Lepisosteus oculatus: one gene and its partner. The main gene of each other region encodes a partner of the protein of the gene in region 2 in a complex. Links are inferred from orthologs where the notes say so. Each region holds a gene or a part of one and is shown on either strand. Other genes may lie near its edges.

Region 1 (7,965 bases), on a different chromosome or scaffold from region 2:
CAGAAATGCGAGAGTTACTTCAAATCCATATTTCAGAAAAATCATTGGAGGGGGAAAAAAAAAAAACCAACAACTCACAGAAATGAAATCTCCCTTGAGCCAACTGTCATCCTTCACGGCTTCATAGGCCCCGATCTCCTTGCCATGAACTTTGACCTTAGTGTGATGCACATCAGGGTATTGGGTGGATGAGTGGTTACCCCAGATGATAACATTCTTCACATTGTCAGCTGGGACTCCCACACGAATCGCCACCTGTGCAGGGCAAGAAAAATTAACTACTTTCAGCCTAAATTAGTCTTTTGTTTCCACTCAAGCTATATAAAGCAGCAAGTGTGCTTCAGAAATAGTTTTGAGTAGCCCTTTCACTTTTGGGTAAATACTCTAGCTGTGTAAACAGGACCTTCAGCCTTAGACTGATGCATATTACCAACATCTTTATCATTGGGCAACGTTTAAATCGATATACTTGCTCTTTGTGCTGGACAAGTAGATCCTAGAATACTGAAGATTAACTTGAAAGCACACGCTGGTCAGCTAAAACAAACTTATATCCCCACAGGTTCTCTAGAACATTGATTGGCGGTTATTTGATGGATGTAGCCTAACTGGTGCCCACATTATTACAATACAAACTTTCTACCATTTGGTTACAAGGTCATGGTGAAGGCTGCAGACCTGTGACCTGGCCCTGTTGTGATCCAGACGGGTCAGGCAGGAGAAGTTCTCCTTGGGAATAGAAGGAGCTGACTTGGAGGCAATCAGGCAGTTGGTGTTTGCAGGGTTTCCCACAACCAATACCTAAAAAAGCCAACACAGAGTCAATATGAATTGCCATCAGCAGTCATAGCAGGTTACCACCCATAGATTTGAACAGAAGCAGAGCAGTTTAGATTTTTGGAGAATAACAAAGGATCACTTCTCTTTCTTGTATCAGGCTTAAACCCACAAACATAAGTCACCTGTTTCATTTTTTTGTGTGAGCTCTGCATCCTAAAGCAGTTACAGTACATATATAATTCTTACCATGGAGAGCCCATTCCCGCCAAACAAGGTATGAACACCCCACTGACTGAATACTGGCGATTTCATACCCTACAAATAGTGTTGCTCCTATGGTGGGCACAGTTTCCCAAAGGAATACATTTTTACATTCCAGTTTTTAGGTGTAATAATACAAGATTTTCTGCATGGTGCAGTTTTCATTACCCTCCACAAAAAATGAAAAGCCTACTGCATGTTTTCTGATCTGGGACTCAAAAGATTACTTTGAAATAAGGTCAAGAAATTGAACATAAATGGGAGGAGGTTTGGGGGTTAATCAGTTCACATACTTGTATTTTGTTACAAACAAATCAAATGTAGTTATATACAAGTCCTATTCTAGCAGCTTGGGGCTAGAATAATGTGGTTATTGTGTTGCCATACATGTTCAGTCACCACTCAGGGCACAGGGAGCCATGTGGGCTGACATCCTGGTGTTCCAGTGCATCGCAGGGCAGAGGAAAAACACGCCTTGTGCAATTTTATAGATGACAATTAACATGGTCACAAGGTCTTTGGATTGTGCATGGAAACTCAAGGAGAACATGCAGACTATAAAGCGATCATTGAACCACTGCCTTGGTCTTGCCATATAGATATAATGTATGGTAACTGATGGATATATGCAGCTCTAGTCACACCAAACATCAATTCAAGCAATCACGAAGTGTACCTTCAATGCACTCTTTTCTGAATACCACTATACAAAATAACCTGAACAAATTGGTCACTATTTTTTTATGCCAATGGAGGGCAGAAACACAAGCTGTTTCTATCCCATTTCTTCAAAAGCATTAAATACCAGGAACATTCATTTTACAATTATTCAACATTTCTTTCAAGTGCTTTACCCCCCCTTCAGTCCAAATTACAAGCCCACAGGATGTAAGCTGAGGAATTCAGGTTATTTGCAGCACAGAAATGGGAATTACTGGCTGACTGCTGTGCGCAATGAATTAAAGCCAAATCTAACAAGCCACCAGCAAAACTGTGCTTTCATTACAGGCTCATTAATCTTAGTCACCTTGACGGTCTTCTTGGCATATTTATCCAGAGCGGCACCCTGGGACTTGAAAATGTTCACATTGGCCTTCAGCAGATCCTTCCTCTCCATGCCTTCTTTTCTTGGCATGGAGCCTACCAGTATGGCTGCGTCAAGATCCTTGAAAGCCACCTCCTCCTTGTCAGTTGGGATGACCTCTGCAAACCACAGAATTACACTTCATAGTCGGACAGAAGCTCTGCAAACTCGTTTTTCCCTTGACAAAACAGAGGATTAGATTTCTGCCAACAGCAGCCAAAACTTAAAATGCTCATTTACAAGTGGCTGGAAAACTGCTGGTCACCAATATCAGGCAATCTGGTGTTGCAAGTTGCAATAAACCCCCATTATCAGGCTGAACTTCAGCCTGGGCTCTGTGCATTCATCAATTTCCAGTAGTATACCTTGCACACAGTCTGATTTTGTTACTGCGGCACATACTGTGGGTGGTGCTTTCATCTAGGTCACTAAGTGACCAATCAGAGCCCTGCAGTTCGGCACACCTCTCCACCATCCGCTGCTGAGCCTTACACACAGCAGTGTCAGTTCTGCAGGGGGGACCTCAGACTAGGGCTGCAGTCAGTAGGCAGAGAGCTCCATTATAGCGCTGTACGGCAGGAGACGGATCTTAATCAATGGTGCTGGGACAAAGTGCTTTTCAAGCAGTGGAATAAAAAATATTACACATGCAGTCTGCAATTATGAAGGACTGGTCTGAATTATGTTGCAGATCTGATGTCATTAGCTTCAGCACAAACTAAAATGAACAAAGGTAGACGAAAATGAGATTACAGGATTTTAATTCCCCCCCTCCCCCCCGAGATAAGACGCACAGAAGGAACCATCACTCCTCTTCAAGACTAGCTGTGCACTTCAAAATATTACCTAGAATTTTTAATTCACCCAAGCAGTTAGAGAAGTGCACACCATTTAAAGCACTAACCTACATGTTCACTACACATGACTAGGAAAAAAATACTAATCATATTCAAAATTAAACCCTCTGTAGTAGGATAATTGTCCTCCATTTAGAGTAATCTGTAGGAGTTAAATTACCCCCCCACACATTAATTGCATAAAGAAAGTCCTTGCTTCACTGGGTTAAGGCTCTACACACTAACACGCTTGTCTGCTAGAGAACTGGGACTCCAGCAGACTGGGGCATCGGGCCCAGCATACCTCTCAGCAGTGGGAGGGCACAGTCCTGCAGCTCCATCACCACGCCGTCCAGGACTGGCAGCATAGGGGTGATATCCAGCAGAACAAGAACAAGCGGCTAGGAAGAGGAGGCAAAATACTTCAGAAGGAAGCACAACAACCAGACCAGAGTCACTGCGCACATGCAGTCACGCCATCACAAAACAAGGTTACACCGTGCACATCACCTTCAGAAGAACTAAATTCAGATGCCCTTATTATGGACTAAGAACATGCGAGCAAAAAGTTAAACTCAGCTGAAATAAGCATTGGCAAGGAAGTGACTAATGTTAAATTCAAGCACCACTATTTTATAATCCTAAATTGCCAGATACCATTTTACAGCCCCTGGCAAAAGACCCACTTACAAACAGTACGTTTGTAACTTACACGTCTTTAGTGTCTGCAGTTTGCCAGCCCAAAATTAAAGTTCTTCAGTACCATCGCAATTTAATTATATATGAGGCCTAGGGTGTGTTTCCTAAAGAAAGATGCAACTAAACCGGTCCATTACTTACCTGATCTTTGCCGAAGACATCTCCCTTAGCGATGCTGTACAGAAGGGAATAGGCGATCTGGCCAGCAGCGCCAGTTACCAAAACTTTAATGGGATCAGACTGCAACAACAGGGTGAAAAATGGGGGCTTAATGACGGACCATCTCAAATTGCTTTATAAACATTTTCCCCTCCCAGAGTCACCTCCCGCAGAAGCGACTGCAAGGACATCTCCATAGATACACAGCACACATTCAAAATAAAGATTAAAGCCGATAATCAATATATCCTCAGAAATGTTTATGCAAGTCTAAATGAACGTTAATTTATCGGTTTCAGCTTCGCAGCAGGAATAAACTTGCTGTTCTACATTGCAGTGACCTTGGGGTTTTGTTCGAGGTAACAAAAAGCATATAAACAGGCATATAAGCAGCCATTAGACTACAGCAGATGAAACGGATGTCGGAAAAATCATAACACCATGGCGATTATGCACTGCAAGTGTCGTGCAACGCGTACGCAAGTCAAGTAACTGTAGCTCATCTTAAAAAAATGTAACGCCAAATTTATTTGGTGCAAATTTGAAAGTGCAAACTGTAAACGCCTTTCTTAAACAATGGAGTTCAACATACCAGAAACTCCGGTTCCTACCCTCCAACGTCTTCCGATTTATATCATATTTATATTCAATCGGCCCGATGTCGGTACCTATGTACAATGCAAGGCGATAAAGTGGCAAAACCGCCCAAAAAACAAACCAGAATCCTAAACACGTTAAAAATGTACATATGCATGTCTTTACAAACCGATGCCAACCGTCCTCTTACCATTTCGATGACTCTTGATCTGCTAGACACCAACTCTCTCACCTAACTGAACAGAGTGAGGGTGACCTCTATTTCAGACAGCAACTGATCACGGGGGCCCAACGAGTTGTTAATGCGCATGTGCCGCTGACCCCAGTGTATTCTGGGACTTGTAGTGTTGACTCCGGCAAAGATTTTTTATTTTGCTCCGAAATCGAAATTTGGGAAATACATTGTCCAGTATGCCCTGCTCCCTTCCATTTTTAGAATCGCCTGCCAGTATTTCATTGGGGGAAAAGGTGATTAATATGAATGTGGAGCTCGGCTTTCTTCCTGATGTAAGCACGATTTTCCAAATGTATAAAAAACAGCGGCATTTTTTTGGACTTCCTCTGCATGAAAACACTTTTCTACCTACAGTATATATGTTATCTTTTTTTTAAAAAAAGTGATTATCCGCTCAAAGCGTTTAACGCAATTTCTACACGTGTGCACGGGCATGTTCAGATCTAAAATTCGGAATCAGGAGATGATGGAGGAATGTTTACACCTCCGTTACTACGGATGATTAATATTGCTTAAAACTTCAGTTGCCCTCCCGGGAGGAACGACTTGTCTGACCCGGAAGGTAATGGCGGTCGCACGCTGGGCCGAGGGAGTCTGAGAGTCGAGGAAGCTTCCCTGGTTGCCTGGACACGGAGAGCAAGACCTGCCAGCCGCTTCAGGAAGCGTTCGTGCGGCGATGACGGCGTACCGGTGCTCAATCTAAGAAGTAGCTGTAAAATAAACAACAGTCTTCTGTACATCACATGTACAAGAATCTTTTGAAAAAGAAACAAAAGGGTAAAAAATTACACCTTCTCTTTGACACAGAGACCAGTAAACCGTTTTTTGCTCCTCCGTCTGAATGCAAGCTGCAGAGATTGCACATCAGATCTCGGAACACAGCAGGTAGGTTGAAACTGGAAGTTTAAAATGGCATTTCTTAAGTGCTTGTCAAATACGCCAGTGGTTTCAAAATACCTGATGTCTTCTGCTTAAAGATTTAACGTGAGTATAGATTCATGATTATTCACTGTGCATGCATGTTTGAATGAGCCCGTTTGATTTAACAATGCCAAACTATAAATGTGTAGAGTTAGTCCGACAGGCTGTGGGATTAATACTTTCCAGCTTCTGAAATAATGGGAATTGTGCTACATTTCGTGATTTCAGGTTTAGAATTCGATTGCTATTTCTTCCTATCGCTTACTGTTCTGCAATTGCAAGTGATGTTCATTAAAATAGATGTTATTAAAATGTAGTTTTATATTTTATTCTCAGAATGTATGAGACTCTCTAATAGAAATCTGAGTGATTCTTAATTATCAACCTGACCTTGGTTAGTTTAGAAGCTTCAAATGTCTAAAATACTTTTGTATTAAACATAACTGTGCAGTTCATGAGCTCCACCGAAACGACAGTTCTACTGGTAGTACTGAGTAGATACAATACCTTTGGATAGACAGTTTCAGTATAATTTACCCGTTGTTTTTTCAAATTATGTTAATACCATATCTGCCTTTCACTTTTTAAAATACTCCCTTCTTTTTAAAATCTACCTACAATGTGCAACTGGACCACGGTCATTTACCTACAAGTTAAAATAACGTCATTGGATTATTGAAGAATTGATCTTCTTGCTAAGACAGAACGAATACGCTCAGACACTCTAGTGTACATTTAACAAATGGAAAAAAAGAAAATTGTTCTTTGAAAAAAGTTTTTAGAAATGACCTTTCACTGACGGGTGAAAAAAAGTGAAAAGTGCTGTATAAGATCATTATTTCAGAAGAATCCAAGTACAGTAGATCATTGTTCCTCCAACGCTAAGACATTTTTGTTGTAGTTCTGATGTTTATTTTTCAATTCAGTTTGCGTTACTGGACTAAACCTTCAGATCCTGGAGCAAGTGTTACTGCACTGAAACGAATAGGAAAGAAAACAATTGGAAACAATTAAAGTAACCAATGTACAAAACAATTGGAATAATCTAATATAATAAATTAAATAGCAACTAATATTGATTAAATGTGTGGATCAGTGCCTGAACATAAGGTTGTCACAGAAGGCTATATACTGATCCACCTCCTCAATGAACCCTTATCTTTGTAGAGAATACATAGAATTTATGTGTTTTTTTTTGGTTGGTCCGGTGGAGATCACTTCTAGCTACAAATTACGTTTTGTTTGACCTAAATGTTTGCTTGCAATGTAGTGGTATTTCTGTAGATTTTACTTATTCACTTTCCTTAGCAAACATGTTTCCCTAGCATCTTGAAAACATTTTGAAATGTGAGTTTTTTTTAAGAGTTCTTGGAAATAATAGTGGGTGTTTTTTATTACACCCACTATTGAGCAACATGGTGATAAGCTGCTTCATAGCTCTTGGGTGCTGGGTTCAATTCTGGCCTGCAGCACCTTCTGTGAGGAATGTGCATGTTCTCCTCTGGACATGTAGTTTTTCACTGGGTGCTCTGGTTTCCTTCCACAGTCCAGAAACATGTTGTGTATGTGTCTCTGAGGATGTGCCCTGTGATTGACTGGCATCCTGTCCAGGGTGAATCCTGCCTTGAGCCCGTGGTCTGCAGGGCTGGTCTGTGGCTCCCCTCGGCCCTGTGTTGACAAAGCTCTTATTGGAAATGGATGTATCAACGATGAGTGTGATTCGTGTGAGTTGAATGTTTGCTGTCAGGAGAGATGCTGTAACAATGGGAAGAAGAAGTGCATTAACCTACGATTGTGAGATCGTTGTCATTCTGGTTTGACACAGAAAATTGCAGTTCCCTGGCCAGGTGCTTAGTCCTTTCAGAGCAGGAGTGTCAGAGGCTTTCCATTCAGGGGGTAGTGTTAGGTGATCTGACTTATGAATATTTCATGGTCTAATTACAGGGTCATTACATCAGTTGAACAAAGCTGGCCCAGATTTTATTACATCTCATTGACTTTGGAAACCATTATGCTTTGACAGACATTTCCAAGTGCCTATTAAGGGTTCTGTAGTGTTATTTATTTAATAAATAGGTCATTTTAACAGGTTTGGATTTTTTTTTAAGTAGGTGTGGTATTATTTTACTACTTTGTTTTCTTGCAGGCAGAAACATAGTTCTATTTTGTTTTTGGGTTGTCTTCTGTTCTGTTGGATCTGTTTCCAGGGGTATCTTTTCAGGGCTGTTAAGAGCGTTAACAAACAGATGAGAGGATCGGTGGTGGCTGGAAAAAAGATTGTCCTTTAGTCTTCCAGCTTCCAGCTCCATGCCTCGCTGCTGCCTCATTTGAATGTTTGTGTTTGGTTCACACAAATCTTTAGTACTTCAATCAGGAATGAAGCACAGTGTTAC
Region 2 (7,757 bases):
ATGGTTTCCTTGCAGCAATTTGTCCTGGTAGGCCAGCTTCACGCGACCTCCTCTGAACAGTTGATGTCGACACATTGTACTTCTAGTTGCATTGAGCTCAGCAGTTAGCCACCGGTTTCACAGACTTGTGACTCTAATGAACTTATTCTCTGATTCTGAGGTCACCTTTGGCCTGTCTGACCTTTTTCCATCCTCGCGAGTTCCGGTTTATTCATATCGTTTGATAGTCTTGGCCACGGCAGTTACTGACACTTGCAAAGTTCTTGCAATTTGTCGTAAAGATTGATCTTCATTTCTCAAAGTAATTATAGATTGGAATTACAGACTTTTGCCCATGCTCCCTATATTTATAGTAATCGTGGACCCTCACCTGTTTACCAATAATTGGTGACAAAAGGTAAATGAGGTAACATGCTAGTTAACTGTGAGTTTACAAAGAATTTTAAACTTATTTTAGTGTTCTAACACCATGTTATACACATTTCTAACTTTAAACTAACCTGGGCTTCAGACTGAAATCCGCCTGCTTTGGGTGTTCATTTTATTGAAAATCAAAAATTAACATTTTCAATGCAGTTCACTTCAGATTAAAAGTACACATCTCATGTAATTAAATATTAAGTGCTTTATAGACAAGTTTATACAATTTAAAGCAGAGATAATCATAAACCTGGTTTCAAGAAGGTGTACTCAAACTTTTGACTGGTACTGTATATTTTTGCACCTATTCTGTGGAAGCCTAGAAGACTGAAAATCAAGAGACATTCTCTGACACGGACATCACGAGACATTCTCACACGGACATCATAGTCGCCTTTACCCAGAGGACTCAAGCAGATAAAAAGCTGTTAAATGTCTCAGCCCAAAAAGATCAGTTAAGTCAGGCTTAAATTAAGTCTGTACAGCTGCCCTTCTGCTCATCACAGCCCTTCTAACCCCTTAATTTTCTCTTCTTTACACTCATAACAAAAAAGTAAAAAGTAAAAGCAGACTCCGAGATGCCCAAAACCCTTGAAGCCACCAGGATTTCAATCACTTAGCTCCCAGAGAAGAACTTAGTGCACTGAAGCTTACAGAAGTTACTAGGTCACAGAGGCACACAGAAATTGTTCACACTGTTTGGTGTACAGTATCAGTTCATTCCATTTGTCTTTGGTGCTTTGGAGCTGTAGTTCAACAATTCACTATTCACATGACACATTATCCTATGTACAGTACATGATCACCTCAATAACCGATGGCTCAAGTGGTGCACTGTATTCTTGTTTCCTGCCCTTCTAGTAATAGCTGTCCCCTACCTTGCAGAACCTCAAGCTTTTTTCACTGGCTAGGAAGGCCAACAAACACGATAATTAGCAAACAGCACTCCTACAGTAGGACATGTAACAACAGCAGGTGACATAATGATTTTTGCTGCCCTCAGTAAAATCCCCACCCTGCTTTCAACTGAGAAAACATTACATTTAAAGGGCAAATCCAAATGAATATACACAGGAAGACAAGGCCACAGAGAGCGAGATCAGAGAGCCCCTATACCAGCAAAGTGAAGGAGATGATTCAGGCCATGTGTGGATGAGAGACAGACAAAAAGCAGGGCCATTCTAATGAGGGTATCCAAAACTACAGAGAGAGGAACCAGCAGGAAAGAAAGACTTTGCAGTGAGGATGGCAGGTGCTCAGGTGGGACAGATCTAATTACAGCTCATGCACCAGTGCCTGGAAGAAACGAAAGAGGAGAACTAATGGAAGAGACAGAACCATCAGTAGGATACCTGCTGAAAGCTTTAACATTGCAGCATCCCAGACGTCACAGCAGAGCCAACAACCACAACAGGAGAACTCAGCGAGGTGGAAAGCAGCAGCACCAGATGAAGATGCAACAGCACTAATGACAAAGACTAAGGGAATTGTTCAGAGAAATCACATAACAAAAACAGAGACTGGTAACAATACAAAAGGTCCCACTGCAAGGACTGGAACACCAGAGCTATTAACACAAGCACTGCCCATTGGTTTGAAGGTCACAGAACTGAGGGTTTGAAGGTCACAGAACTGAGGGAAATTCTGATAGTCAAGGCACAGACAGAAGTACTTTAAACACTCAATGGGGAAGGTTGCTCAAAGAAGCAAAGAAAAGGTAGGCACTTTTGAAGATGGTTCAGCTGTTTTTTTCTAAAAAATAAAAAAACACCGTAAATTGTGCGTGTTCTGCTGTAATTTTTCAAAAGCCAGGAGATGAGACAAGAGTACAGGATGGAGAAAAAAAACACTGTAGTACAAATGACATTTTTATACAACTGAGCCTTAATCATACTGCACTCAAATTTCATTCTGGGAATTTATCTGAACCTTGCATATCTAAGAATCATTTTAGATCAGCACACGAGAGAAAACCCTTCTTAACCTGTTTCTAAAACTTTATTATCACAAATTAAGTTAGTGTCTTAAACCTAAATCTCTGATATTACTACCTTTCTGAGTGAGAACTCTAGAATTTACACTGTCATACCAGTAACTCGCTGTACATTATTATTGCAACTATTTTGTATCGTCTGCTTTTTAAAGCTCATGACACGGTATACTTTATGTAAAAACAAAAACTAATAAAAGACGTTATCAGTAGTTGGCAGCATAGAAATACTTCAGCCGAACTCTGTAGTAAATATTATTCACAATTACACTACAACAAAACATCTAAGCATATTTTCAGATTTCAGCTCGTAATTCAGTTAATTATTTTCATCAGATTTATTTTTGCTACGTTGTGACGGTATCTCACTCTGAGTAATCGGAGGGGCTGTAACTTGATGTAGTGTCACTCTCATAGCTGCCTTCGTCGTCCTCCGGTTGTTGTTCTCTGTATGGACCGGGGGTGAAAGGAGACTCGGAGGATCGCTGGAAATCTCGAACCTGGGAATTCATCTTCTGATACGCATTAACACGTTATAGTAACGCATACCGATCTTTCTCTAAACTGTCTACAGTACGTTACTTTCTCACGTTGACAACTAACACTTCGCCATATTGTCCCGCATACGGGTTAGTTTGAGTCATGTGACAGGAATACCACCTTTCTGATTGGCTAGCAGCGGGGTTGCCATAGGCACAAGGAAGCCTTGACAAGCATAGAGGCAGGTTACACAGGTGTGAATGGATAGGTGTCGGCGATTAAATAAGAAATTGCAGAAAAGCCATTTCCTTAGTTATGCGTTTGTGACACTTAGTATACACACAAGTATATACAATTGTGTGTACTTAGCTGTCTGTCCTATTTAACAATCTGTGTTATTTGTACTGTACATATATTTCAAAATCATAAAAAGATTATTTTAATCGGTTGCTTTTATTTAGTTTGGGAGTAACCTTATAACATTAACATAATAATAATGTCTGTACGGTAGAATACATAGAAAGTATTGTGAAAGTTGAAGTAAACTTTGTAGTAAAATTTGGCTTTACATCATTAAGAAAATATTGTTTAAAAATCGTTATCTAAAAATTAATTTTCTTAAAACATTAAAGTGCTGCAAAATATTCAATTTTTTGTCAATGCGGTAAAATTTTTATTATATCAGCTATTTAATTATGCTTGAATACGAGGTGTGTGCTTACCACGGTTGACAGTTTGCAACTTACTTTCTTGGTAACCTCACTGTTGTCCTGACGCCAGAGGCGTGGATGGCCACAGTGCTGTAAAGCCTAATAGTTTCGACAGAGAGTAGATGTATTTCTTGCTTAACGTCTAATGCTACCACTTGCGGTTGTCTTTTGAAGGGTTTTTATGGACTAAACTGGATGCTTACCATTGGTGTTCTTACTGTATTAAGAACATTCAATGTGAACAGAAAAATACAAGTGAAATGTTTCTTTTTACATCTCAATAAAACTTCGGCCATTTGGCAGCAAATTCCCCCTGATGAAAAGGCACAGTACAGTGTATTTCCTTGAGAAAGCTAACAGTAACGGACGGCGATGTTTTAGTTTCCCTATGGGTTTACAGTAAGAGAAGGCAATGTTAAAATAAATTCGATATTATTACCCTTTAAAACACGTCATGCACAGAAAAGGTTCTGGAGATGCTTTCCAGCTGCAAATGCTAAACGTTTAAAAATAAACGTATCTTGATCATCGTTGCCACCCATTACAACTAGGTCAAATACTGTATTATCAGAAAAAGGAAATACTGTTTTTATGTTGAATTATGTCAAACTGGCTTCATGTCTTGTGTAAACAACGCAAGTAACGTGACTGTTATTTTGAATGCGAATACAATAAAAAAATATGTTGCACCAAGCAAGACCTTAATCCCCAAGTATTCATTGACCAGTACATGAATACAAAAACTATGCGCACTTTCTCCCCACATCTACTGTACAATCTGTTAAATGTAACGTATATGGTTAAAAATTCATTACTTCCCCAAATGCCAAGTTACTGTTGTTGGAGAAGAAGACCAAGGTACACTAACCTGTAGAGAAGCACGCTGCGCACAGAATCGAAATCCTCTAGGTTCTTTGAACAGGGTCTTGATGTTCTTCCATCTATACCGACATTAAACATTCTTTATTCCTGGATCATGTTTCCACGAGGAGCAGATGCTGGAATTAATACCAGTTGGATACAAACCCATTGCCTTTGAGCGTTAAGGTTTAGCAGCTATACGTTGGCTGTGCCGCGACGCCAAAATCCCTCCCATCGCAGTTTTTGCAGTTTATGAAGAATAGCCCCTTCAAAGACCGTGGCTCTCGAAGCGGTGTTTTAAATTGTGTTAACAACAATGTAATCTCTCGCTCTGGCAGTCGGCGGTACATTCCAGACTTTCTCGCCTTCAAACTGAATGAAAACTCCTTTCAAATTAGCTTCCCCCCCAATTCACACGCCAGTCACTGACGGTACAAAGCTCTCCTTTACCACCCGTTGCTTTGAAGGCAAGGGAAGCGGCACTAGAGTCCTTCACAGAGCCAGGGCGCAGTCGTTAGAATAAATACCGAGCGCCAATTCTGGACAAGCAAGATCTGTGCTCTGCGGTAAAGGGATTACTGCCTTTCCTCAATACTAAACTGAGTTTTGTATTGAATTGTGTTAATCCGCAGCCTTTACTTAATCGTTTAAAAGGCGACTACCAGACGAAACGTGGTATGCACAAACATTTCACATTGAAAAAAAAACCCTCAAACTCTCCTATGCATAAACAAGAAGTGCGCATTCACGCCTTCAAAAACTATATACTGTACAGCGTAACCAGTACAGATTTTATGTAAATAAAAATCTACAGTACATTCAAGAAGCGTTTAATCCAGTAATGCCAGAAATATTACTTTTGTCACGATTTTAGACATTCTTTATTACTTTGAAAAATGTTCATTTCTTTCTCAGATGTCTGCTCATAGATATACAGTATCACCCACAACAGACTTGTGGTTGCAAGTAAAGCAAATTTTATCCTATTTTATGTTTGTTAGTTAATGATAACCAATAATACGGAATTAATAACGTTAATTTATCTCATGTGAATTTGCTTCAGACACAACAAGATTATGCAGTCATTCTTATTGTGTTTTTAAAAAAAATTCTTAATTTTATTATTACTTTATAAGCAGTAACACAAGTGAGGCAAACGAGTAGTCGGGTGCAGTTTCATAACTATCCAACTTGTGAGGACGTAGCAAAATTAAATTGTGTTACATCGCATGTCATTATTATAGCACATTTTTTACTTCTCACGTTGGTGAGTAATTTATAGGCTGCCACTTAGAGCCCGCAATTCGACCCAGTATTTATTTATCATAATATTCTTGGTCATATCCAATCAGCTGATTGTTTGTCCTTTATAGCGCTCACTAGTGATTGTATTAAACTAGATATATATATTTACATTTATTGATGATTTAAATACCAGTTACCATGGATGATGGCCACTGCAAATCACAGACGATTTAATAATTGAATTGAGAGTGCCATCTTGTGGCGTGAAGAACGACCAGGCCGTTCTGAGGAAAAAAGGTTTCAAAGTATTTCAGCAGAATAACGCGATTTTCGCCATTTAGCCAATGAAGAGGTTGACACGCACAACAATCTGGGAGTTGTGTCGGAGTTTCTAATAACTACCCTTTCAATGTCGTGGACAGACAAAACTTCCCCTCCCACATTATCGGTCTAGTACAAGTCTAGTATTGAACCTTTTTGAAAAACTGTTATTATTAGACTTAACGGAACCACTGTGAAGAGAGACCGCAGCAATAATTCTTACAACTTGGTTTCCAGGACAAGAGGTTTTCACAATAAAAAAAAAAATCAGATTTTATTGGAAATCAATACATATCAGTAAGCATACATAACAGTTCACAAAAAATATAAAATGCCCTTTTGCTGAATGGGTTCTGACTGTTTTTTTCAGTGGAGAAACAGTATTTAAGTTGGACCTCCCAGCTATTTATTGCACTTGACAGAAACTGTCAAGCCATTTTTTGATAGCATGCAGACCATTACACATTCCCAAATTATCCCTACTTGTACAGAAAATAAGAGACAGAAGTGTCACTCTGTTTGATCTTCCCACAGTACCTGCTTGACTGTTCTGTGGGACAGCTACATGACGAACTTCCTAACAGAGCAGTATTCACTATATCAACCCACCTGAATCCCCATTTACTGTGTCACCTCTTTTAAATTGGATAATGTTTGTTAATTCTTTCAGGATTTACAGAATTTTAAATCACTGCATTCAGTTGAGATCCTGGCTTACAGTAAATTCATGTCCCTTGCTGTACAGTATGTCAACATCTTGTGCTTTCATTTTGAGTTGTACAAAAAACAGCTCTTCTTTTTTTAAACGTTCATTTTAAAATAATTCTAAAGGCAGTTCTCATTTAAAACTTGTACGTTAAAAAAAACCCCAATTCTACAGAGGTCCTAGCCAACTAAACACTTGGTTTGTCTTTTAAACATGAAAGAGTTAAATGTAACTGAAGTTTAAACCTCAATAATGTAGAAAAAATGCATAATCCAACATTTTAAATGTGTGCTCACAGTTTATTAGTTAAGGTACTGTAGATATTCATAAAATATATGGCTTTTGTTAACCCAGAGTAACTTCACAATTTATGTTTCATCAACAATAATCATATTAGACATAAAATTCAAGTATTTTAGAAATATGGCAACTTTGAAACCCAAAGTATTTTTCGAATTTCCTAAAATTCACAAAAATCAAATCCGTGGACGGATTATCTATATATTCCATGAATTTCAAAATATTTAAATGCATAGTAATCCTTTTCAAATAGGCAATAGCTTTTGAAATATCATTTTTGGAATCCGTATTTTCAAATGCGTTTAATGTCTCACTGGCTGCCTGACATATTGTATTCGATTCGAGTCAGACTACTTTGTCCCTGTTGATGAATCATCCAGATGTCACAAAAATACTTTAACTGAAAGGCGGCATCAAAATTTTAAACTTACAATAACCATCTCAATGAATGCATGTGCGCTATGTGCATTCTTCATATGCATATAATTTAATTAATCAATAATTGAATTAAGATAATGCAGATTTTGTATCTTCCACATTTTGCTTTTTTGTAAAAGTTTTTTTGTGCATCTTAAGGGTTGCGATCAGTTCACAATGACTGTGAAATCTTGTGCTTTGTCCTTATTGCCAGTTTACAGCAGCCTGAATGCTGAAATGGAAAGGTTTAAAATCCTGAGAAGAGATGCGCTTAAGGACAGAAGAGAGGTGGGCACTGCTTCACACA

The links.
Region 1: the proteins of intu (region 2) and wdpcp are in contact, whole or in part, in a cryo-EM structure (PDB 7Q3E), measured with the Mus musculus proteins. The link is inferred for Lepisosteus oculatus from reciprocal best matches to the Homo sapiens genes INTU and WDPCP. Residues at the interface, in NP_780724.3 of Mus musculus: Val481, Gln484, Val488, Asp491, Ser495, Asp496, Glu498, Ala499, Ala500, Asp501, Ser506, Glu507, Asp508, Arg513, Arg514, Thr517, Ser532, His533, Leu534, Pro535, His574, Tyr593, Glu610, Gly613, Cys614, Ala615, Ser616, Lys617, Ser653, Pro654; in NP_663400.2 of Mus musculus: Phe3, Cys4, Leu5, Ile24, Leu51, Ser54, Arg55, Asp56, Lys93, Leu385, Ala386, Glu387, Asp388, Tyr389, Ile427, Lys446, Leu447, Gly448, Ile449, Leu450, Thr451, Arg452, Gly453, Leu455, Leu462, Gln463, Ile465, His466, Tyr467, Gln487.

Annotation. Positions count from the first base shown.
Region 1 is NC_090712.1:9,392,142-9,400,106, forward strand, and holds the start of wdpcp (WD repeat-containing and planar cell polarity effector protein fritz homolog), read left to right. Parts: upstream 1-4,885; 5' UTR 4,886-5,428; exon of another isoform or gene 5,429-5,536; intron 5,537-7,965. Other genes in the region: mdh1ab (malate dehydrogenase 1Ab, NAD (soluble)), read right to left, coding at 79-255, 679-801, 2,069-2,244, 3,266-3,362, 3,802-3,900, 4,607-4,609. UniProt on the Homo sapiens protein: Probable effector of the planar cell polarity signaling pathway which regulates the septin cytoskeleton in both ciliogenesis and collective cell movements.
Region 2 is NC_090696.1:66,111,065-66,118,821, reverse strand, and holds the start of intu (protein inturned), read right to left. Parts: upstream 3,052-7,757; 5' UTR 2,923-3,051; coding exon 2,780-2,922; intron 1-2,779. UniProt on the Homo sapiens protein: Plays a key role in ciliogenesis and embryonic development.